Macaca mulatta: one gene and its partners. The main gene of each other region encodes a partner of the protein of the gene in region 3 in a complex. Links are inferred from orthologs where the notes say so. Each region holds a gene or a part of one and is shown on either strand. Other genes may lie near its edges.

The links.
Region 1: the proteins of RPS6KA1 (region 3) and SYNJ2BP are in contact, whole or in part, in a crystal structure (PDB 7P74), measured with the Homo sapiens proteins. The link is inferred for Macaca mulatta from reciprocal best matches to the Homo sapiens genes RPS6KA1 and SYNJ2BP. Residues at the interface, in NP_002944.2 of Homo sapiens: Pro731, Ser732, Thr733, Thr734, Leu735; in NP_060843.2 of Homo sapiens: Arg18, Gly22, Leu23, Gly24, Phe25, Asn26, Ile27, Val28, Gln33, Ser45, Arg46, His78, Val82, Phe85, Arg86.
Region 2: the proteins of RPS6KA1 (region 3) and MAGI1 are in contact, whole or in part, in a crystal structure (PDB 5N7F), measured with the Homo sapiens proteins. The link is inferred for Macaca mulatta from reciprocal best matches to the Homo sapiens genes RPS6KA1 and MAGI1. Residues at the interface, in NP_002944.2 of Homo sapiens: Pro731, Ser732, Thr733, Thr734, Leu735; in NP_001028229.1 of Homo sapiens: Arg480, Gly481, Phe482, Gly483, Phe484, Thr485, Val486, Val487, Gly488, Asp490, Lys499, Ser500, His532, Val536, Phe539, Gln540.

Annotation. Positions count from the first base shown.
Region 1 is NC_133412.1:143,541,934-143,548,847, forward strand, and holds part of SYNJ2BP (synaptojanin-2-binding protein), read right to left. Parts: intron 5,135-6,914; exon of another isoform or gene 4,588-5,134; intron 4,406-4,587; exon of another isoform or gene 4,215-4,405; intron 3,920-4,214; coding exon 3,783-3,919; intron 1-3,782. UniProt on the Homo sapiens protein: Regulates endocytosis of activin type 2 receptor kinases through the Ral/RALBP1-dependent pathway and may be involved in suppression of activin-induced signal transduction.
Region 2 is NC_133407.1:128,931,803-128,938,716, reverse strand, and holds part of MAGI1 (membrane-associated guanylate kinase, WW and PDZ domain-containing protein 1), read left to right. Parts: intron 1-133; coding exon 134-217; intron 218-3,747; coding exon 3,748-3,839; intron 3,840-5,301; coding exon 5,302-5,494; intron 5,495-6,914. UniProt on the Homo sapiens protein: Plays a role in coupling actin fibers to cell junctions in endothelial cells, via its interaction with AMOTL2 and CDH5. May regulate acid-induced ASIC3 currents by modulating its expression at the cell surface.
Region 3 is NC_133406.1:214,440,784-214,448,483, reverse strand, and holds the start of RPS6KA1 (ribosomal protein S6 kinase alpha-1), read left to right. Parts: upstream 1-3,529; 5' UTR 3,530-4,596; coding exon 4,597-4,731; intron 4,732-5,560; coding exon 5,561-5,677; intron 5,678-5,883; coding exon 5,884-5,965; intron 5,966-7,700. UniProt on the Homo sapiens protein: Serine/threonine-protein kinase that acts downstream of ERK (MAPK1/ERK2 and MAPK3/ERK1) signaling and mediates mitogenic and stress-induced activation of the transcription factors CREB1, ETV1/ER81 and NR4A1/NUR77, regulates translation through RPS6 and EIF4B phosphorylation, and mediates cellular proliferation, survival, and differentiation by modulating mTOR signaling and repressing pro-apoptotic function of BAD and DAPK1.

The DNA of each region.
Region 1 (6,914 bases), on a different chromosome or scaffold from region 3:
CTCATTAGATCTGGTTGTTCGATAAGTGTCTGGCACTTCCCCCTTCTCTCTCTCTCCTGCCACCTTGTGAAGAAGGTACTTGCTTCTCCTTCACCTTAAAAACATGATTTTAAGTTTTCTGAGGCGTCCCAGCCAAGTGGAACTGTGAGTCAATTAAACCTCTTTTCTTTATAAATTACCCAGTCTCACGTAGTATCTTTATAGCAGTGTGAAAACAGATGAATACACCCCCTATATGTCTTCTATCTCTGCCTCTCCTTCCCCTGGCTTTTCCCCTCTCTTCTTTTGCATGCCTTTTCCTTAAATGGCCAGAACATAAACATATCATTCCTTGTAACATATCTTTGTAATATTTAATATCTTGTATACATCTTTATATTCCTTATATTTTGGTAAAGCAAAATCCTCTTTGCTATAAATTTAGACATCTACTTTTCTCTTCATTGACATTTATCTTCCATCATTTATCAGCAGCCCCAACACTTTTTTAAAACTTGAGAGGCCTTTCAATAATTTATTTTCTCTGTAAGGAAATGGTCCACATAAGGTTCCTCATTTCAGCTTGTATCTAATAATTTTTTTTTACATTGAGGTTTATTTCCTTATTTCTGATTCTACCATTTATAGAAAGATGAATTTCAGTTTTTATTTTATTTTATTTTATTTTATTTTATTTTATTTATTTTGAGATACAGTCTCACTCTGTCGCCCAGGTTGGAGTGCACTGGCATGATCTCAGCTCACTGCAACCTCCGCCTCCCAGGTTCAAGCAATTCTCGTGCCTCAGCCTCCTGAGTAGCTGGGGGACTACAGGCGCATGCACCAAGGCATATGCCACCATGCCCAGCTAATTTTTCGTATTTATATATATTTTTAGTAGAGACGGGGTTTTGCCATGTTGGCCAGGCAGGTCTCGAACTCCTGGCCTCAAGTGATCCACCCCCGTTGGCCTCCCAAAGTGCTGGGATTACAGGCATGAGCCACCGTACCTGGCCTAATTTCAGTTTTTATATAAAACCATCCATGCAATCTACTGTTAATTCACCATGTAACTTTGTCTTTAGGATAACTAACCTTAGCTCCTCATTTACCTTTTAGGAGGCAGTATAACATAGTGGTTAAAAACAAAGGCTACAAATTCAGACTCAAACAAACTTTGAGTCCCTTGCTGCTTACTAGTTGTGTGACTTTGGGCAAATGGCTTGGGCACAATAATCATGCCCACCTCATAGGGTTACTATAATATTAAACAAAATAAATTTCAAGTTCTCAGCATGTTACCTGACATTTAGTGCTCAAATAGTTCTCACCATTCTCATTTTGCAATAATCTACCTTTAACCAAAGCTTTTAAAATAATATAGCTCTCTTCTTTCTCTTCTTAACTCCTATTCTTCATCCACAGAGCCCAGATTCCAGTGTTCTGAGGATAATGTAATTTATGTGTCAAAATATTAAGCTGCATAGATTCTAACTACATGCTACACCTTTATTTTAACAACCCACTCTCAGCATTTCCTTACAGTACCACTGCCAAGTTGATTCATATTGGATGAATGTCTTTCCCTGGGAGCTAAAGGAAATAATCTGCTTCTAAACTTTTCACTATCCTTTTGAGAAGACAGTATATTATCACTGTCTCCATCTCACAGATTAATAAATAGGGTCTAGGAGAAGCTTAACGGATGGAAGAGAGGCAAAACAGTCAATGAGAAGGACTGAAATACTGTGGTGCTTGATACTATATTTATATTATAGATCAGCGAGGACACATGCTTAGACATTCTTGAGCTAATTTAGGTGGCTCTAATAGCTACTTGTTCTGATTTTCTTTCTTTTTTGGGGACTAAGTGGAGTCACGGTCTTCCTGAAGAGGCATTCAGATCCATACTGCTGAGCCTGATCACTCAAATACTCAGATGCCAAATGAAGAGAAGATGGATGTTCTTTCTCTTTTCCTTTGTATCTCTGCCTTCAGGTACTACTACCAAATGGGCTGCATGGCAGAGAAGTGTTCAGTAAGCTGGCAACTAAGAAGAGCAAGAGATTTCACACGTATGACCTGTAATCACTAATCACCTGAACTGCATGAAAAGTGAAGTGAAATTCAAATGAAACTATATAGCAAAAAAAATTTAAGGGATGAAGCTAACTTATTATAGAGGTAGGTTCAAAATCATGTCTCTGAGACTAATACTTAATTCTGTCAATCAAGACTTCTCCTGTCTATACTTCATTCATTTATTTCAATCTTTTCCCAACCTGGCCATCCTGCCCTATTCAGTTCTAAAAGAAAACAGGGAATAGTTTTCTCCTCTTCAGACCGTGGGCTTATGGCCCATCTGGAGAAGACAGGAGCTTCTGCTTAGGAGCTTCTCCTATGAGAAGCCCTATCCTATTTCAATTTCCTTTTATTTAAGTCTAGCCCTTTGAAGCCAGCTCTCCCAAGAATATTCTAGATAATATCTCACACCCTCAGCATTTTTCCATTCTTTATACCAACCATCTGTACTGTTTCCATACGAGTAATAAGTTGGCCATTTTTCACTAGTCCTGAAAGTTAATAAAAAAAGAAATTCTACAGAATAATTATCTCCAATCTACACCTCCTTATCCCCCAGCAACTGATAGTATCATAGGATTACTGTGACCTATGGTAATGTGGAGAAATGAACAATAGGGCCAGAGTTATATTTTGCATTTTAATAGTTTTTACTGTAGGCTTGTTCTAATTTATTTTAAGACCTGAGGTCTGTGGGCCCGTATTTATCAGCTAGTCTTTTTAGGTTTGCCTGAATTTCTTAACTTGTTCATTTCTTAAACATTATTAAACATTGCGCTATGATTCAACATGTTAAAAAAAAGATCTTAGGCCAGGCCCGGTGGCTCACGCCTCTAATCCCAGCACTTTGGGAGGCCGAGGAGGGCGAATCATGAGGTCAGGAGTTCGAGACCAGCCTGGCCAACATGGTGAAACCCCATCTCTATTAAAAATACAAAAAATTAACTGGGCATAGTGGCAGGCACCTGTAGTCCCAGCTACTCAGGAGGCTGAGGCAGGAGAATCACTTGAACCCGGGAGGCAAAGGTTGCAGTGAGCCAAGATCATGACACTGCACTCCAGCCTGGGTGACAGAGCGAGACTCCATCTCAAAAAAAAAAAAAAAAAAAAGGATCTTGTCACTCCCCTTGAGGAAATTCTAGAAAAGAATAAGATTAATAATTTCCATGTAGTAAGTCTTGGTAGAGACATTAGCAGGATGAAATGGGAACACAGTGGACAGATACCCAAATCAACTGCATTCCAAATTTTCATGTTAATAATGGGTGAAAAAGGGCTCTGAGTCTGAAAAGGACACTTAATTCCAACCTTCCTTCTTTCTGTTTTTTGAAGTTAAATCCAATTATAAGGGCTGACATTCCCCCAAAGGAAGATACACATTAGTGTTTTAATCAACAAAAGGAGGCAATGATGGATGAAAGACAAAATTTGTGGATTTTATATCTCTTTTCCCCGTATGAGTCCCTCGCTGCTTCCTGCCTCGTGCTTTTTGAACAAGTAACTTCACATTCTGGGCTTCACATTCTCATTTATCAGGTGAGCATAATATTGCCCTCCATGCTCAATGATAGGGTTGGAAAGAATGACTGATCAGAGTTGCTCCCATTCAGCTCTATAATCTGTATATTTCCAGACCCAAATCTTTCCAAGGAAAGGGATAGGGGTAGGACCTAGGGCTTAGGGAGCAAAGGACAGTGAAGGAGGCCGAAGCCCATTCTCACCGAAAGTATCTTATCACCCTCCTGGAGCCGCCCATCCAGGGCCGCAGCCCCATTTTCTTTGATGCGGCTGACGTAGATGCCACTGTCGTTGGAGACATACTGCTGATCTGTCCCACCGACGATGTTGAAGCCCAGCCCTGAGAAAATCATGGAGGAGTAAAAAGATGGGGGTGAAGAAGAAAGAAAGGGATTAGAGAAGATGAAGAGAAAGGGAGGAAAAGCCTACTGGGCAGGAAAGGCTGATGGAGAGGAGACGCTGGCGAGTCAGGCTGTGATGGAGCTGGTGAATGGTCATGAACAAGGTCAGCAGTATCAAGAGTATTGAGTTGCTCACTCAAATGAGGCACAACTGAAAATATAAACACAGTGATTCACCTGTTTTGTTGAATATATAAAGAAAGATATATATAGAACTTAAAGAGTAATGGTGATTACTCTAAGTTCTTTCTTTTTTTTCTTTTTCTTTTTTTTTTTTGAGACAGTCTTGCTAGGGGGCATAGTGGCGGGCGCCTGTAATCCCAGCTACTCAGGAGTTCATAACTCAGTTTCCCAGGCTGGTTATGAACTCCTGGCCTCAAGCAATCACTACTGCCTTGGCCTCCCAAAGTTCTAGGATTACAGGTGTGAGCCACCATGCCCAGCCTACATGTAAATTCTTCTACTCACATTTAATTTTGATCCTGTTGATGGTATTCAAAGGACCCAATTCCTGACATTCCTGATATTACCACAGCAGGGTTAGTTGTGTTCATGAGAAGAAGCTATGCATTTTTACCAATTATCAAATGAACTGTTCCTAATTTAGTGTGAGAGATTCCTAACCATACCTTCCCTTCCACACTTTCCTTCTCCCAAGCTTCTGGAGAATTTATGTATGATAGTGCTTTGGAAAAATCTCTTGAGAGTTTCATTTTTTTTTTTCTTTCTATTTTGGTTGGTGGAGGCAGTGGTGTAGGTATTGGCAGAGAAACCTCAGAACCAGAAAGGTAACTGCTGTTTCATGGTAGGACTAAATCACCAAATTTACCTTCCCTTCCTTTGCTACTTCAAGTACAACCATATATAGGTTGAGTATCCCTTATCCAAAATGCTTAGGACCAAATGTGTTTTGAATTTTGAATCTGGGGGATTTTGGAACATTTGAATTAAACTTACCAGGTGAACATCCCTAATCCAAAAATCTGAAATCTGAAATGCTTCAATGAGCATTTGCTTTGAACATCATGTTGGCCCTTAGAAAGTTTTGGAGTTGGTGCAGTGAGCCGAGATCGCGCCACTGCACTCCAGCATGGGTGATAGAGCAAGACTCCATCTCAAAAAAAAAAAAAAAAGTTTTGGAGTTGGAAGCATTTCAGACTTCAGATTTTTGGATTTGGGCTACTCAATCTATATTTGGGTATAGTAATTGACAAGTTTTATTCACTGTAGAAAAAACTGACTACTCATTGATTAGCAACTCCCCAGTTCTTCTTCCCTAAGTCCTTGGAAACCACCATTCTAATATTTGTTTTTATGAGTTTGACTATTTTAAACACATATAATTTTAGTTATGCAAGATGAATCAAGTTCTAGAGATCTGCTGTACAACACTGGCCTATAGATAATACTATATTGTACACTGAAAAATCTGTTCAGAGTAGATCTCACGTTAAGTGTTCCTACCACAGTAAAATAAAATATTTTTAAAAAGAAAAAAGAGAAGGAAAGAAAACTGAGTATCAAAGTGCTATTTCCATGGACCAACAACTAAGTGCTAGAAAGGATTTCACTGTACAGAAACCATTGTTATGAAGGGATTTTACCTATGCTTAAAAAAAAAAAAGGAAAAAGGAACTTCCCTAGGGTTCTTAATGTCAGCTACTGGTAGAATTCAGGGCCATAGTGTAAGAGAAAGGAGATAGTTTGGAAACAAGAACCAAAAATCTGGTGGTGCAATTGGAAGGAATAACCATAATCACCAGCCTACACTGGTCACAATAGAAAAGATACTTAAAGAGACATATGCGGGGCGGGGAGGGGGCGGGGCGGTGGCTCACGTCTGTAATCCCAGCTGAGGAAAGCGGATCGCAACGAGACCATCCTGGCTAACACGGTGAAACCCTGTCTCTACTAAAAATACAAAAAATTAGCTGGGCATGGTGGCAGGTGCCTGTAGTCCCAGACACTCGGGAGGCTGAGGCAGGAGAATGGCATGAACCTGGGAGGCGGAGCTTGCAGTGAGCAGAGATCGCACCACTGCACTCCAGCCTGGGCAACAGAGCAAGATTCCGTCTCAAAAACAAAAATAAAAAGAGACATATGTGGGCTTTCTGAAAGTTCTTCCCATTGGTGGGAGAAAAGCTTACACCTGAAGCTCACAGTATTAACATAAGCACTAGCAAATCAATTTGTGATTTAAAGAAAAACATGACCAAACAAAGACTCAACAGGAAACATTTAATTTAAAAAGCATACCTTAGCCAGGCACGGTGGCTCACACCTATAATCCCAGCACTTTGGAAGGCCAAGGTGGGTGGATCACTTGAGCTCAGGAATTTGAGACCAGCCTGGGCAACGTGGTGAAACCCCATCTCTACCAAAAATACAAAAAATTAGACAGGCGTGGTGGCACATGACCAACCTTAGGAGGCTGAGGTGGGAGGACTGCTTGAGCCTGGGAGGCAGAGATTGCAGTGAGCCAAGACTGTGTCACTGCACTCCGGCCAGGGTGACAGAGTGAGACCTCATCTCAAAAATAAAATAAAATAAATAAAAAGCATACGTTGTGCATAAAATCTCTGCAGCTACAGAATAAAAAGAATTTATTCTCTAAAATAATAAAATAAAAAGATACATCATAGAAAGTGCTACTTCTGGAGTTTGTGACCTGGCTGGGCAACACAGCAAGACCCTGTTTCTCTAAATAAATTAAATAAGAAAGTGCTACTTCTGGAAGATGCTATTTTAACTTCCTTGAAGGGCTGGGTATTAAAAATAGTAGCTTAACTTACTAAATGATTTTCTTGGAGCACAGCACCCTCAATTTGTATCATAGAGGTGAGAAGTATTGGAGAAGGTACAGAAATTTGAGATAAAGTGGAAAAGTAGATGGAACAAGATTATTGAAGGTTTTTAAACGACTTAAAAACTGTG
Region 2 (6,914 bases), on a different chromosome or scaffold from region 3:
TTTTTAAATAACAGCCATGACCTTTATTGTGAAAGCTGAACTGCCTGTTCCTTATCAGTCAAAACTAAATTAAAGTGAACTAAGAGAAAGAATGTACATTAAGCTTTGCAAAATTGTGAAATTAATATTCCAGCCATGTCACCTTCACCTGCATCGGGATTGAGCAAGGGTGAGAGAGAGAGAGAAATCAATTCCACGAATTTTGGAGAATGTCCGAGTAAGGATCTGCTGAAAACTTTTGTCTCTCCATTTTCATTCATCTTGTTTGATGTTCTCATTGGTCTGGGGGCCTGGGGAGAAGTTCAGAAAAGAGAGGGAAGAAAAGAGGGGCATGAAGGGAAGTGCCTTGGAGCTCTTGTTGACCAAATGCAAACCAAAGACAAGATGGAATAAAAAGGGTTTTGCATGCCCTTGTCAAGTCTGGAAATGTGTTAGTATGTCTGTAGTAATGGAGACACCAGGAGGTTTCTCTGCAAACCTGGTGGTTCCATTCTCTCTAATTATCAAAGGAAGTCTTTTGACTGCTTTATTGAGTTGTCACTGGCATTGCCAAAAGGAGACTAACTGCAGAAATTGTTCATATGCAAGGGCTTACAAATGAAAACTGGACAAGGTTTTCTTAGCTCTATTTGATTTAGCCTCACTCAAAAAAAAGGGATATTAATATCGGAAAAATGGTTCTACCTTACTGCCGCCTAAAAACTTAATTGTAATAAAACCTGCCTGAAGTAAGGAAGGAAACCATTTCGGGGGAAGTAGTTTAGAAACTTCAATGCCTCTAAGAAGAGGTGGCCTCGGAGGACACAGAAGAGAGAAATTTCATAATCCCATAATGTGTTTCAGTACTGATTTATTGCCAAAGTTATATATTGGGGTAAATGGCATTTAGTTGGTAGAAGAGTAGAATTGTTAAAATGCCAAAATTGAAGTAGCAGAAGACTTTCTTTGTAACATGTCTGTGTTTTGATGTTTGTATCTGTGTTTTCTGGCTCGCTGTTGTGTCTTTAACATCCCTAGTGTCAGTGGGCATCTTCCTTTTCAACAGAAAACCTTTAAATAAATTTGCCATTTTCCCACTGATTCTCAGAAGGAAATGAAGCTTTTTTTTTTTTTTCATGTGGACTAAACGGTGTGATAAGCCTAAATCTGTTGGCCACAACCTCCCATACCATGCTAGCTCACACCTAAATGAGCAACAGTAGGCAGAAACTTGTTACATTTGGTGTCACTGTAGGATGGGCAAATGTTCCTGTGTTAAATGATGCTGAGAAAAATAGGTCTGGGCTGGAAGTCTCTGCAGAGGCCCTTTCGTTGTTCCCAGAAAGGCCACACACTCAGCAGACCTAAAACAGACTCTGCCAGGAACCCAGTGCTGGCTGGACAGCACCAGTGGTCTATTTCGGTAATAATCCTCCTGCTTGAGTGAACCAAAGACGGAGACACAACTTGATTTAATTTGTTGTTTCATTGAGGCTATTACAGCAAATATCCTTTAGCCAGCTACTCGAACAGAAAGAAAATATTGTTACCTTAGCGTGCTCAAGAAAATATTACTCTCAAATTGTGTTTATGGGAGTCCTGTGCTGTAGCTTAGCTCCATGTTCCCGGTGTTTTGCAGCTTAGCCTCAGCAATTATAATAAAAGCAGTGGATAGAAAGCACCCATTTACAGCCCTGGCACTGAGATAGCTCAAGTAAAAAGATCAGATTCGAACTCCTCTGACTTGTACTTACTGGTCATTTGGTTTCTTGTTTGTTGGTGCATTCATTCACTATACATTTTAAGTTTGTGGGTGAATCACTAAAAAGGGACATCTCTTCACCAACCTAAAATCTAAACATCCACCTTCTTCTTCCCTATTCCGTTGTACAAAACTGGAGAAGAAAAGAATTAAATTCTCAGGCCCGCACTTTCCTTCAGCCCCAAATCCAGTTAATTAAATAAGAAGGTATGCACTACAGCGTTTGAAAATCTCCTTTAGGATTCATTGCAACCGAATCGTATTTTTTTCTCTTTAAATAAAAGATACGTCATTTTATAGGTCATAAAACACCCTATGTATACATTAAAATATTAAGTAAGAATTAAATAGAAATAACCCTCTTTTACCTTAGTGAAGTAACAGAGTGGTATATAGAACGATTTCATATATAGTAAGTATTTTCTTATGGAAATTACATTTCTTTTAAAAAACAAGATATTCATTTTAAAGCCCTGGACCATTACTGGGCGTTGAAAGTAAAATACCAAGTTATTGGAAAATGAATTAATACTTTTAATGCTGAAATATCATAGGCAAATTCTAGAGTAAATCAGCGATTTTGGCAATGAGATATATGATTCATTAATATAGACTCTTTGTCATCACCATTGATCTTAAGGATTTGGAGGCCTGGCTGATTTTGGTAATAGTATTGAAATCCTAATAAACTTTGTACAGTCACCCCTCAGTATCTGCCGGGAATTGGTTTCAGGACACCTGCATCCCCCATCAAGGTTGTAAAAATCCATGGATGCTTAAATCCCTTGAAAATAGCATAATATTTGTGTGGAACACACACATACACACACACACACTCTCCTTCCTGTATTATTTGTTTGTTTGTTGTTTATGTATTTATTTATCTATTTGAGACAGCGTCTCACTCTGTCACCCAGGCTGGAGTGCACTGGGGCAGTCATGGCACACTGCAGTTTTAACCTCCCTGGCTCAAGCGATTCTCCCACCTCAGCTTCCTGAGTAGCTAGGACTATAGACACACACCACCACACCTGAACCATTTTTTATTTTTTGTAGAGACAAGGTCTCACTATGTTGCCCAGACTCAAATGCCTGGGCTCAAGCGATTCGCCGGCTTTGGCCTCCCAAAGTGCTGGGATTGCCACTGTAAGCTACCGCACCCACCTCCTCCTATATACTTTAAATCGTCTCTACACTGCTTATGACATCTAATACAATGCAAATGCCATGTAAATAGTTGTGATACTGTATTAGGAATAACGACAAGAAAAAAAAAATCTCTACGTATTCATCACAGCTAAAACCATTGTAGGTCTAACAAATTTTCTATCTGTGATTGGTTGAATCTAAGGATGCAGAACCCACAGATATGGAGGGCTGACTGTATGCAGAAATACTAGAATGTTTGAGAGTAATTTTTGGCAAAAATGATCTAACAAATTATTAGCATTGCTAGTCTTAATTATTTTAAGGAAGAAGAAAGTGACTTAAAGATAAATCAGAAAGTCTGTTTAAACCAAGCTGTTCTCTTTCATCCTCTAGTAGAGGAAACATCTGGTGACTTAACATGACTTCAGAATCCTTAGAGCCGGCTTCAGAGGTGGCTCTGACTTAGCCTGAGTTCTGTTCTTGGACATGGACACCTGCTTTGCAGTGTGGCACATCATACTTTTAATTTACTTAATTCCCCTTGCAAGAATACTGAGGAAAGCAGTTAATGCTGACTATTTGTAGTTAAGGATCATGGCTTGGGCTTGATTCGGAATTATCAAACAGTGATGAGTCCTTTGAAGAACTTTAGGGCTCAGTGACTATTCCCACTATTTACTTTATCCCCATGTCTTCTGTTATTTCACCTGTTCAGAGTATTTTGTTTCTTTGCCTATATTGAAAAGCTTCCATCTGATCAAGCACCACCATTCTTGTCTTGCAACTGTGTTCATCTTGGGGGTATCACTGCTTTTATCAGAAAAATAATCCATGTCTTTTTTCTCCCCTCTCTGCAGTTCCAGATTACCAGGAACAGGACATCTTCCTCTGGAGAAAAGAGACTGGATTTGGATTTAGGATTCTGGGTGGAAATGAACCAGGGGAACCTGTGAGTCTTTTGCTCGTCTCTCTCCCCGGCATATTTTTCTAAGGCTTCAAAGCAAATTGGCAACAGTGACAAATCACCAAGATTTGTCCAGCTAGATGCAACACTGACTCTTTCATCTTGAGTAGTATGGGTTTTTCATTGGATTTTGTGGAGCACTGTTTGTCTTGAGGAAGAAGAGACTAGATTCTTTCTAAAAAGTTTGTATGCGTGTTTGTGAAAAGTGGCAGCTGCAGCCTCTGTAGACCACCCCTTTCCCCCAAGGGAGACAAAAACAGAAAGCAAAACAGGATAATCATCACCTGATGTAACAGTAGCCTGGTCCTTCTGGCCAGGTCCCTTCACTCTGCCAGCAGGTACTGGGCTTTGTGTGTTGAGTTGCTGGTGTGCAGAGAGTATTTCACAAAGCCTTATGGGACAGTGATTGGAGAATGTCAGAACCCTGCCTTTACAAAACTTGAGAAAGAACCCTGAGTAAGGGTCAAGAAACGTTGAACTTCCCTGGATCTCAGTGACCTCCATTTTGGAATAAATTTAGAATAACATAACAGGGTTCTTTTGAAGGAAGAAAAGAAAACTAAAATAGGTATTGTTAATTTCCTTGTGATAATAATAGCCATTATTCATCGAGCGCTTACTATGTGCCAGGTTCTGTGCTAAAGGCTCTTAACATACATTCTCTCATTTATCCATCAAACCCACCAGTTTATCCCGTTTTCACATTGAGAAAAAGAAAAGCTAATTAACTTGCCCAAGATTACGGAGCTACCAAACGGAGGGACTGACAAATAAGGTCTGACTCGAATCCATGTTCTTAGCAACTATTTTGTCAAAGTTCTTTGCAAACTGTAAATGCCATGTAAAGGTAACTATAGCATTATTGTCTGCTGGAAAGGCAAGGTAGGCACAAGTATTTTAGCTAAGGTTTAGTGAATGGCAAATATAACAGTAAGACATTAACTATAAAGAATGCTCTGCTTTCAGGTGCTAAAAGACTTCGAAAATGGAGATGTCCAACTAATTTTTGCTTCATTCATTCATTTAAGAGTATTTATTACATATTCCCTATTCCTAGGCATGATGCTAGACTCTTAAATAAAAGTAATATTAAAATTTTATTAGCAGAGTTGTATGGAAAGAGAGTTTTTAGGTAGGTAGGAAAGAAGAATAGGTTGTACAATGAAGGGAGAAAAGTGATTTATATCTACAGCGGAGAAAAAGAAAGAGTGAGTTGTCAGTAGGCCACAGATAAACAGCTGGAAACTAAGCAAGAAATATTCTTTCCACCATTTAATAATTGTGACAATACTTAGCACAATGTCTTGTACACAGTGGGTGCTCAATAAATGTTTGTGGCATGCCTGCAGACATGAATGAATGAATTGTTCCCAGAGATGTGAAGGCCATTGATGTCACAGTAAATGTAGGAGAGAAGTGTTTCATCCATCGTTCAATTATTCAACAGATTTATATTGGTCACATTGTACCACTGGGTGCTGCTGATACCGACGGCCGCCTGAGGTCTGGAGATGAATTAATCTGTGTGGATGGGACGCCAGTAATTGGAAAATCACACCAGCTTGTGGTCCAGCTTATGCAACAAGCTGCCAAACAAGGCCACGTCAATCTCACAGTGCGGCGTAAAGTGGTTTTTGCGGGTATGTATTTCATTCATTCGTTCAGACAGTGCGTTGTCACTTGATTCACAGAAAAGGCCTCCTTCCTGTGTCTGCCTCCTTGAGCATCTATTTTAGCAAATGTTTGCAAATGTGATCAAGCTCAGAATTTCCAGATGGCTTGCTTCTCTCAAACCCTGCAAAAATTACTGTCATTCTAAAGTACTTTAATGTGCCGTTTGCATATGTTCAACAAAGTCTTCCAGAGGAAGGCTTGTTGAATATATATTACTTCCCTTCTATCTCCTTGCAAATCAGAACTTAGCCATCCTCTTCATTTGATGATAATCCTCAACAAATGAGGTCATTATGAAAGTCAGAAGAGTTGTAGCTTCATATCAAGAGAACAAAAATTGGGTTTGTGCTACAAAATAAGCTCATAAAAAAGTTACTGATTTCTTACTGTCCTATGTATTAAACCAAGATTTTTTTTTCTTTCTACAAGAAAGTTGTAGAGCCAGCCAGTTCTAGGTCAGCTTTGATTCCTTCTTCCTGCCCATAAGCTTTGAACTTTAATTCTCAAAATACTACATATCCTTTCAGGCTCAGCACAAATATAACCTTCTTCCCTCGGAAATTCCTCCTTCCTCCGACTACCTTCAGATTTTAGCATTCCCTCCTTGCCATTCTAGTGACTCATGGTTTACTTCCACATCCGAATCTGCCATTTTGAGACAGTGAATTGTGTGTCTGTCCTTTCCCTTGACCTACCAGCTTCCTGAAAGCTCACGTTGAATACACCTTGTTGTTCACCTTTGGATGCAGCTCCCACTTTGAAACCTTTGAGACAGAACCCAGAATACAGCAGAAGTGATTGTCTTCTATCAGTTGAATTACTGGAGAAATATGACCTGAAATATTATGAATTCTTGTGGCATTAATATTAGTGAAACAGATACCTGCCAGATCAAATTAATTGGTACCTTGTTTTTTTTTTTAAAAAAAAGTATAACCCATTTTAAATGGTATATGATTAATTATAGAATTAAGATGTTAAATTCCAGTGTGAGAGTCCTACCTCCTGCATCCATGGAAAACAGTGTTAATCTGCTGTAGGTTATGTCCCTAGAGCTTGTTTGTGGCCTCACAATCCTTCTTAACATAGTATTCCATGCAGCTAAAAGCAGTCAGTTAGAACTGGTTTTTGAGATGAGATGAAAACTATCTGGCTTCCCTGGCCCAAATAGAAATAGTAAGGCAATGTGATATTTTGTGTTTCAGGTTTATTTTTTTAAATATTAAATATTTTGGATTTTTAGCTCTGTGTAAAAGGCGTGTCAAAACTATGAAGAGACATTATGCAAAGCGAACTAGTCACAAAAGGAGAAATATTGATTCCCTTTATATGAGGTACCTAGGGTAGTCAAATTTATAGAGACAGAAAGCAGAATGATGGTCGGTG
Region 3 (7,700 bases):
AAAAAATTAGCCAGGCATTGTGGAGTGTGCCTGTAGTCCCAGCTACTCGGGAGGCTGAGGCATGAGAATCACTTTGAGCCCAGGAGACGGAGGTTGCAGTGAGCTGAGATCTCACCACGGCACTCCAGCCTGGGCAGCAGAGTGAGACTCCCTCTCAAAAAAAAAAAAAAAAAAGAAAGGCTGCATGTGTAACTGCTCCATCAGTAGGAGGCACACTTATCATCATCTCTCCATGCCAGGCCTGACCTAGTGTTGGAGGCCAGCTCCCCTTCAAGGCTGCCAGGGAGCTGTGGACCCCTCCTCACCTGCCTGGTGGCATGCTGGGAGATGTGTCTGAGGACATCTGTCCCACCTGAGGGAGGGGGTAGTGCCTGGGAGGGCCCTGCAAATGCTGCCAGCTGGGGAAGGGGCTGTTGGTGTCCGTTAGGGACAGGATTGGCAGGTGGGCTTGGCTACAGCTGGTCGGGTGGGGACCCTGGAGACCAGGAATCAGGCCCGGGGGCTCTGGGCTTCTCTTCCAGCTGCCCTGTAGGAGGAAGTAAATAAAGAGGAAGTCCCTATGCGGGGGGATGGGGCAGGGACCAAGGGATGTGGGCTGGTGGCTGTCCTCCCCCCGCCCGCCACCAGAGGCCTCAGGGCCCACACAGCCTTCAGCAAAGGCAGTTCTGAGACTGTTTCCTTCCTGTTGCCCCTTCTGGTACCCTGCTGGCCACAGAGGCTAGTGTGGACTGGGCCCCTTGGTTTATCTCAGTCTGTGTCTGGAGACTGTCCTCCCACAAAGTAGCTACGTCTCTACCTTCTTTCTTTGCATCTGAGGGACCAGGGGTTGGTAGGGAGGGTGAGCTTTGGGGCTCCGAGAGCTGCCCCAGCCTCCAAACTGGTCTGAGGAAGGTGGAGAGCAATGAGAGGCTTGGCTGAGGGAGGCATCTTTCGCAATCTCCCAGCAGCCATCCACCCGCAGACTCTGCAAGGACAGGGAAGGGAAGTCTGTGTGTGCGTGGGGGCGTGTGTTTCTGCATAGGGGTTGTCTGTGGACAGCGTTTCCGATCACTGGCCTGAGTGTGTGTGTGTGTGTGTGTGTGTGTGTGTGTGTGTGTGTTCCTGTGCTGTACTGGTGTGAGTGATGAAGTGAGACCACGTAGAAAGGGGCTGGGCCTGGCCAACCCCTGCCCCATAGCTGCCTGCTCCTCCTCTCAGACCTCTGTGAGGTCCTTGGTTGGGCTTTCTGCCCACCTTACCCATCCTGGGGCTTGGGACTGGCAACCATCTTCGGGGCAGCTGAGCAGGGCAGGACCGGGGCCACTGGTGCCTGCTTTCTGGGCTGCCATTGTGGGTGGGCCTAGCCATGGGAAGGGTGCTATGGGGGGTGGGACACAGTATCTAAGCTCTGGGCTGGACAGTCAGACAGTGGCCTTTGCTGACTTTTGCCCCACATTCTTTCAGGTCCCCCCCTCACGTGGATGTTTGCGGGTGCTGATATGCCCACTGTGTCACCGCCTTATCGCCTTGTGACTTCTGTCTCTGCTCTTGTCTGTCCTCCTTAGAGTCAGAGGACATAGGGAGAAGTGTGCCCCTGGGCCTTCCCTGGGGTCATGGGCTTGGGGTCTGCAGTGTCCCCTCTTCTGCAGAGGAGCCTGACCCATCTTCTGCCCCTCCTCCCTGCAGAGGGGGAAGTGAAAAGGAGGGGGGCCAGAGACCCTGCCTTCTGGGCCAGGAAGGCTAAAAAAAAGCAGAAGTAAGAAGAGTAACGGGGCCTTCTGGCCACCGGCCTGAGCCCCACCATGCAGACCCCGGCAGATTTCCCCAGAGTTGAGAGAGACTTGGTTCCCTGTCCCAGAAAGGTGAGCAGAAGAGTCGCCTGCCTCCAGCAGTGTCTGTCACCGTGACTGGGCAAGGAATGGGTTTGGGGGTGGCTCTGTCCCCTGGGGTTTCTGGGTGATTTCCTGCTTCTGTCCCCAGGGAGTGCTCTCAGTCAGAGGCAGACAGATGAGGTAGAGGCTCAGATCTCAGGGTGGGGTGTGCAGGTATTGCTGTGTGTCCTTGGCCCCCCCTCAGTCCCTCTTTGAGCCAGGCTTTTTGCCTGTCCTGCCAGGAGGTTACACTCGGGTCTGATTTGACTGCGGCTCTCTGGTGTTTTTGTGGGGCTGTTCCACCCACTCCTCCATCTGTCAGGGAGGGTTAGGTATCTTCCCCTGAAGACAAGATTGTGTCTCCGAGGGACAGGACCTATAGTGGGAGGTCCCAGGTGGACTCTAGTACTGAAGGAGAAGGGGGTTTGGGTAGACGGGTGGGCAGGACGTGGCTCTGGCTGATTTACCTGTCCACCCTTTCCTGGCATTTGATGCCTGCTGACCCCAGGCCAGGCAGTAAGCAGGGAGGCACCTGGGTCCAAGCTAGCTCTGCCACTGTTTGCTTTGAGCCTCGGTGAGTCACTGTCTTCTGAGCCTCAGTTCCCTGTTCCTGGAATGAGGATACCAGTTTTTAGGATATGATCAGAGTCAAAGACATCAGATTGCACTCAGGAGATAGTCCTCTCAGCCACTATCTGGGCCCTCCTCAGGTCCTGGCATAGGAGGAAAATCCTAGGGAAATGGAAAACCTCAGAGGTGGGTCTGTAAGAAATACCAGAGTCCTCTCCTGAATGGTGAGAGTTTGCAGATTGTATCCCCTCATCTCTTTCCCCACCCCAGGTACAGCAGCAAGAACCCACAGTTCCGCCCTTAACCCCTTCCTGGGGATCCCTGCCCTGCTGCCTGCCTGTGTATCTGCCAGGTGTCAGACCTATCTGCCCTAGGTATTGTCAGTCTGCTTGGGGCTCGTTGCCTCTCCTGCTGTCTCTCTTTGCTGCCTTCCTGTGTCTGTGGTTGGGTTCCAATCTCTCTCGCCACTTGATAAGTGCCTGACTTCACCTGTTGGGCACATGTCACATGTTAGGTGCCTGTTGTTCATGTCCCCTTCTGTCTCTGCCTGTTGGGTTTATGTCTTCATCTGTCTCTGCCTATTGGATACATGTCCCCTTCTGTCTCTGCCTATTGGATACCTGTCCCCTTCTGTCTCTGCCTGTTGGGTTTATGTCCCCTTCTGTCATTGCCTGTTGGGTTCGAGTCACCATCTGTCTCTGCCTGTTGGATACATGTCCCCCTCTGTCATTGCCTGTTGAGGTTTGTTTTTTTTTTTTCCCAAGGCAGTCTCGCTCTGTTGCCCAGGCTGGAGTGCCCTGACGCGATCTTGGCTCACTGCAACCTCTGCCTCCCGGGTTCACGCCATTCTCCAGCCTCATCCTCCCAAGTAGCTGAGACTATAGGCGCCTGCCACCACGCCTAGCTAATTTTTGTATTTTTAGTAGAGACAGGGTTTCACCATGTAGGCCAGGATGATCTCGATCTCCTGACCTCGTGATCCACCTGCCTTGGCCTCCCAAAGTGCTGGGATTACAGGCGTGAGCCACCGTGCCCAGCCTGCCTGTTGGGTTTATGTCCCCTTCTGTCATTGCCTGTTGGGTTGGAATTCTCTTCTGTCCCTGCCTATTGGAGATGTGTTCCTTCTGCCTTTGCCTGTTGGGTTCATGTCCTCATCTGTCTTTACCTATTAGGTACATGTCCCCTTCTGTCTCTGCCTGTTGGGCTTGTGCCCCATCTGTCTCTGCCTGTTGGGTTTGTATCCTTATCTGCCTACACACATTGGGGATGAGTCTCTGTCCACCTCTGTCTGTTAGATATGAGTCCCCTCCTGCTTCCCCTTATTGGGTACACATCTCCATCTGTTTTCTATTGGATATGAATTCCTCCTGCCTCTGCCTGTTGGGTGCGTGTCCTTATCCATCCCTGCCTGTTGGGTATGTGTTCTCTCCTGCTCCTGCCTGTTGGATGCCATTCTTCTTTTTTTTTTTTGAGACAGAGTCTCGCTCTGTTGCCCAGGCTGGAGTGCAGTGGCATGATCTCGGCTCACTGCAAGCTCCACCTCCCGAGTTCACACCATTCTCCTGCCTCAGCCTCCCGAGTAGCTGGGACTACAGGCGCCCGCCACCACACCCAGCTAATTTTTTGTATTTTTAGTAGAGACGGGGTTTCATTGTGTTAGCCAGGATGGTCTCGATCTCCTGACCTCATGATCCGCCTGCCTCGGCCTCCCAGAGTGCTAGGATTACAGACATGATGGATGCCATTCTCATCTGTTTCCACCTGTTGGGTGCCTGCTTCTGCCTGTTGAGTGTCTCTCTTCATCTGCCTCCACATATGAGGCACCTGTCTTTGCCTGTTGGTTACCTGTTTGCTGTTGGGTACCTCGCTGCTGTTGGGTACCTGTCTGCTCAGCAGCTGCACTGGCAGAGGGCTTTCCCTTTGCAGACCCACAGGGAGGATGGGGGAATGGCCAGAGGGCAGCCCTCGGGCACTGAGGAGTGGGGGAGAGAGAGGAAGGGAACGTGGTGAGGGTGTAGGCCTGGTGCTGGGAAACCACAGGCCCTGAGTGATTGGCTCCCTTGGGCCGGGCCCAGCCCCCGCCCTCACCCTGCACATCCGCCTTGGTCCCGGCCACCACCGCGGCAGCCCCGGACTCTGCCTGCTCCTGCCATGGTGCCGTGGCCCTGCTGGGCGGATGGAGCAGGATCCCAAGCCGCCCCGTCTGCGGCTCTGGGCCCTGCTCCCCTGGCTGCCCAGGAAGCAGCGGCCCAGGATCAGCCAGACCTCTCTGCCTGTCCCTGGCCCTGGCTCTGGCCCCCAGCGGGACTCGGTGAGTGTACCCAGATGTCTGGTCCTGGCCTGGCTGTGTCCCTCGCAGCAGGTGCCTGGGAAGCCAGCTTAGCGTAATCTGGCTTTGGGCTGTCCTGGCCCAGGCCTGGCCCTGCGGGGTGACTGGACCCTGCCCAGACTTGCTTCCTGGGTAAGTGAGGAGGTACTTCAGGGCTTCAAGGCAATGGCAGCAGATTAGAGGGAGGGTAGAGTCCTGGAATGGCTAGGACGTGGCAAGGGGCTTCTAGTAGGTTTGTATGAAGGAAGTTTGGGAAGATGAGCCATGCAGTCTCTGGCCTTAATTCTGACCTGCCCCAGGCCAGCACTTACCAAGTTGATGGGGGAGTTTGGGTGACTCTTGGGTCTTTGTGCACGTCAGCCCTGTCCTACTGACCAGAGGGATCCCCTCATCCCATCCTGACCAGGAACGAAGGCCCAGCTCTACCTCCCCATATGAGAACAAACCTACTTCCTATTGTGGCAACCCTAAAGCAGCAGGGGGAGGGAAGCCCCACAGGCAGACCTGGGGCAGGTCTCTGGGTCTCAACCGGAGCCTGAGGTTGACTCAGCCTGGCCATGCCTGGGCATCCCTTTGGGCCTAATCAGGCCAGAGCATCGGGAGCAATAGGAGTGGTGCCTCTTCTGTTTGACCTCCCCAGCCTTTGAGGCCCTTTTGAAATCAATGACCTTGGAGGCTGGCCCTTCAGGGAAGTCGTCTGTTGGGCCTTTAGGTCTCATCTGCTGAGGTCTGGTGGGAATGGCCTTGGGCAGGGGAACTCCTGCTGCCCGGATGGGGCCCACCATGCCCACCAGCTCTGTCCCTCCATCAGGATGAGGGCGTCCTCAAGGAGATCTCCATCACGCACCACGTCAAGGCTGGCTCTGAGAAGGCTGATCCATCCCATTTCGAGCTCCTCAAGGTTCTGGGCCAGGGATCGTTTGGCAAAGTGAGTCATGAGCCCGTGGCTGTGAAGGCAACCCTCGTCATGTTAGAGGTGGGGGTCAGTGGTCACCTAGGGGCCCAAAGGATCAGAGGTCACCTTGGTACCCAGGGAGAACAAAAAGACCAGCTTGGGGCTCAGAGAAGATGGAGGTCAGCCTGGGCGCAGACCTCTCCCATCTTCTGCCCTTGCTTCCCTCTCTGCCTTCTCAGGTCTTCCTGGTACGGAAAGTCACCCGGCCTGACAGCGGGCACCTGTATGCTATGAAGGTGCTGAAGAAGGCGACGCTGAAAGGTGAGTAGGGACACCTCCCTGTGCAGAACCCAGGCTGGGCTGAGGGAGGCAGCCCAGACTTCAGGGGCCTTGGGTCTGGCAAGGGAGACGGCTCTGTCTTCAGGAGCACCTAGTTCAAAGGTGGAGAAACAGGCCTATTTCTCAGCCATCTCTCCCCACCCAGTCCCCCTCCCCCTAAGCCAAGTGCCAATGACTGGCTGTGAAGGTCTGGAAGGTGGTAACAGGGTAAATGTAATATGTTTGTCAGAGGGCAGGGCCCTCAGCTACTTAGCTGGTTAAGCAGAGGCGTTCTGACTGTTGATGCTAGCAGAGTCTGAGGGAGACCTCTGTGGCCCCTAACTCAGGGGCCTGAGAGAAGGGTGTGAGTGAAGAGGCAGGGAGCCCAGGGAGGCAGCTGGGCCAGGCGAGAGAGGGTGAGTCCAGGCAGGGCCACAGAGCTGGATGGCAGAGAGGTTCAGAAGGGAACCCTGGGCCAAGATTAGAGTTCTGGGGACTTACAAAGGATATGAGATGGTTGGTAGTGGGTTTTGGGTTGAACACTGACCCCGTGGCCTGGGAGCCCGTGTGACCACTGACCTGGCGGAGTCGCAGCCAGGTGCCCTTCCTTGACCAAGTCTCCCTTTAAATAAAAGTCACGGCCGGGCGCGGGGGCTCACACCTGTAATCCCAGCACTGTGGGAGGCCAAGGCGGGTGGATCATTTGAGGTCAGGAGTTCAAGACCTGGCCAACATGTTGATACCCTGTCTCTACTAAAAGTACAAAGAAATGAGCTGGGTGTGGTGGTGCGCCCCTGTAATCCCAGTCAGAGCCAAGTCCTAGCTGGGGAGGTCGTGGGGGCAGTAGGAGGCGTCAGCCTTAAGGATGTTATGGGTGGCTTTGGTCTCCTAAGGCCAGCCTGGTGGGGGTGGGAGTCATCCCCCAGGAGGTATGGTGGCAGCTTCAGAGGGAGGAGAAAGTTGAAAAGCCTGGGTTCCTGCTGTGAAGGGCTTGCAGGCTGGGCCGGAGAGGCTAAGCATACCCGACAGTGCGGTGCAGCCGGTGCTGAGACTGGTGTGCGTGGATATCCGACGGGCTGGGGAGCTGGGAGTGGTGGTGCAGCCTTGCAGAGGGTGGGACCAGAGGCCAAGGGGACACCTAAGGAGCGGTAAGCCTTGAAGGACGAGTGGATTTCTCCAGACCAAAAATGGTCGAGGAAGAGACCCTGGGAAGGAGAAACTGTTTGCCTGACCTAAAGTACAGAGGTGGTTTGAAAATGTAAGGTAGGCTGGGCGCCATGGCTCATACCTGTAATCCTAGCACTTTGGAAGGCTGAGGCGAGTGGATCACTTGAGGTCAGGAGTTCGAGACCAGTCTGGCCAACATGGGAAAACCCCATCTCTACTAAAATACAAAAATTAGCTGGGTTTGCTGGTTTGCACCTGTAGTCCCAGCTACTCAGGAGGTTGAGGCACAAGAATCGCTTGAACCCAGGAGGTGGAGGTTGCAGCGAGTAAAGATCGCGGCACCATACTCCAGCCTAGGCGATGAGAGCAAAACTCCATCTCAAAAAAAAAAAAAAAAAAAAAACAAAGGAAAAAGAAAATGTAAGGTGACCAAAATAGTTAACTCTGGTGTGGTCCCTGTCGTGTCTAGTGAGGAAAATACAAAAATTAAAATAGAGGAAGGGGCCCACTGATGTGAAAAGTGCTCTGAAGGGAACCAGCTCTGTAGCCCTGTGTGCTGACACAGAAGGCG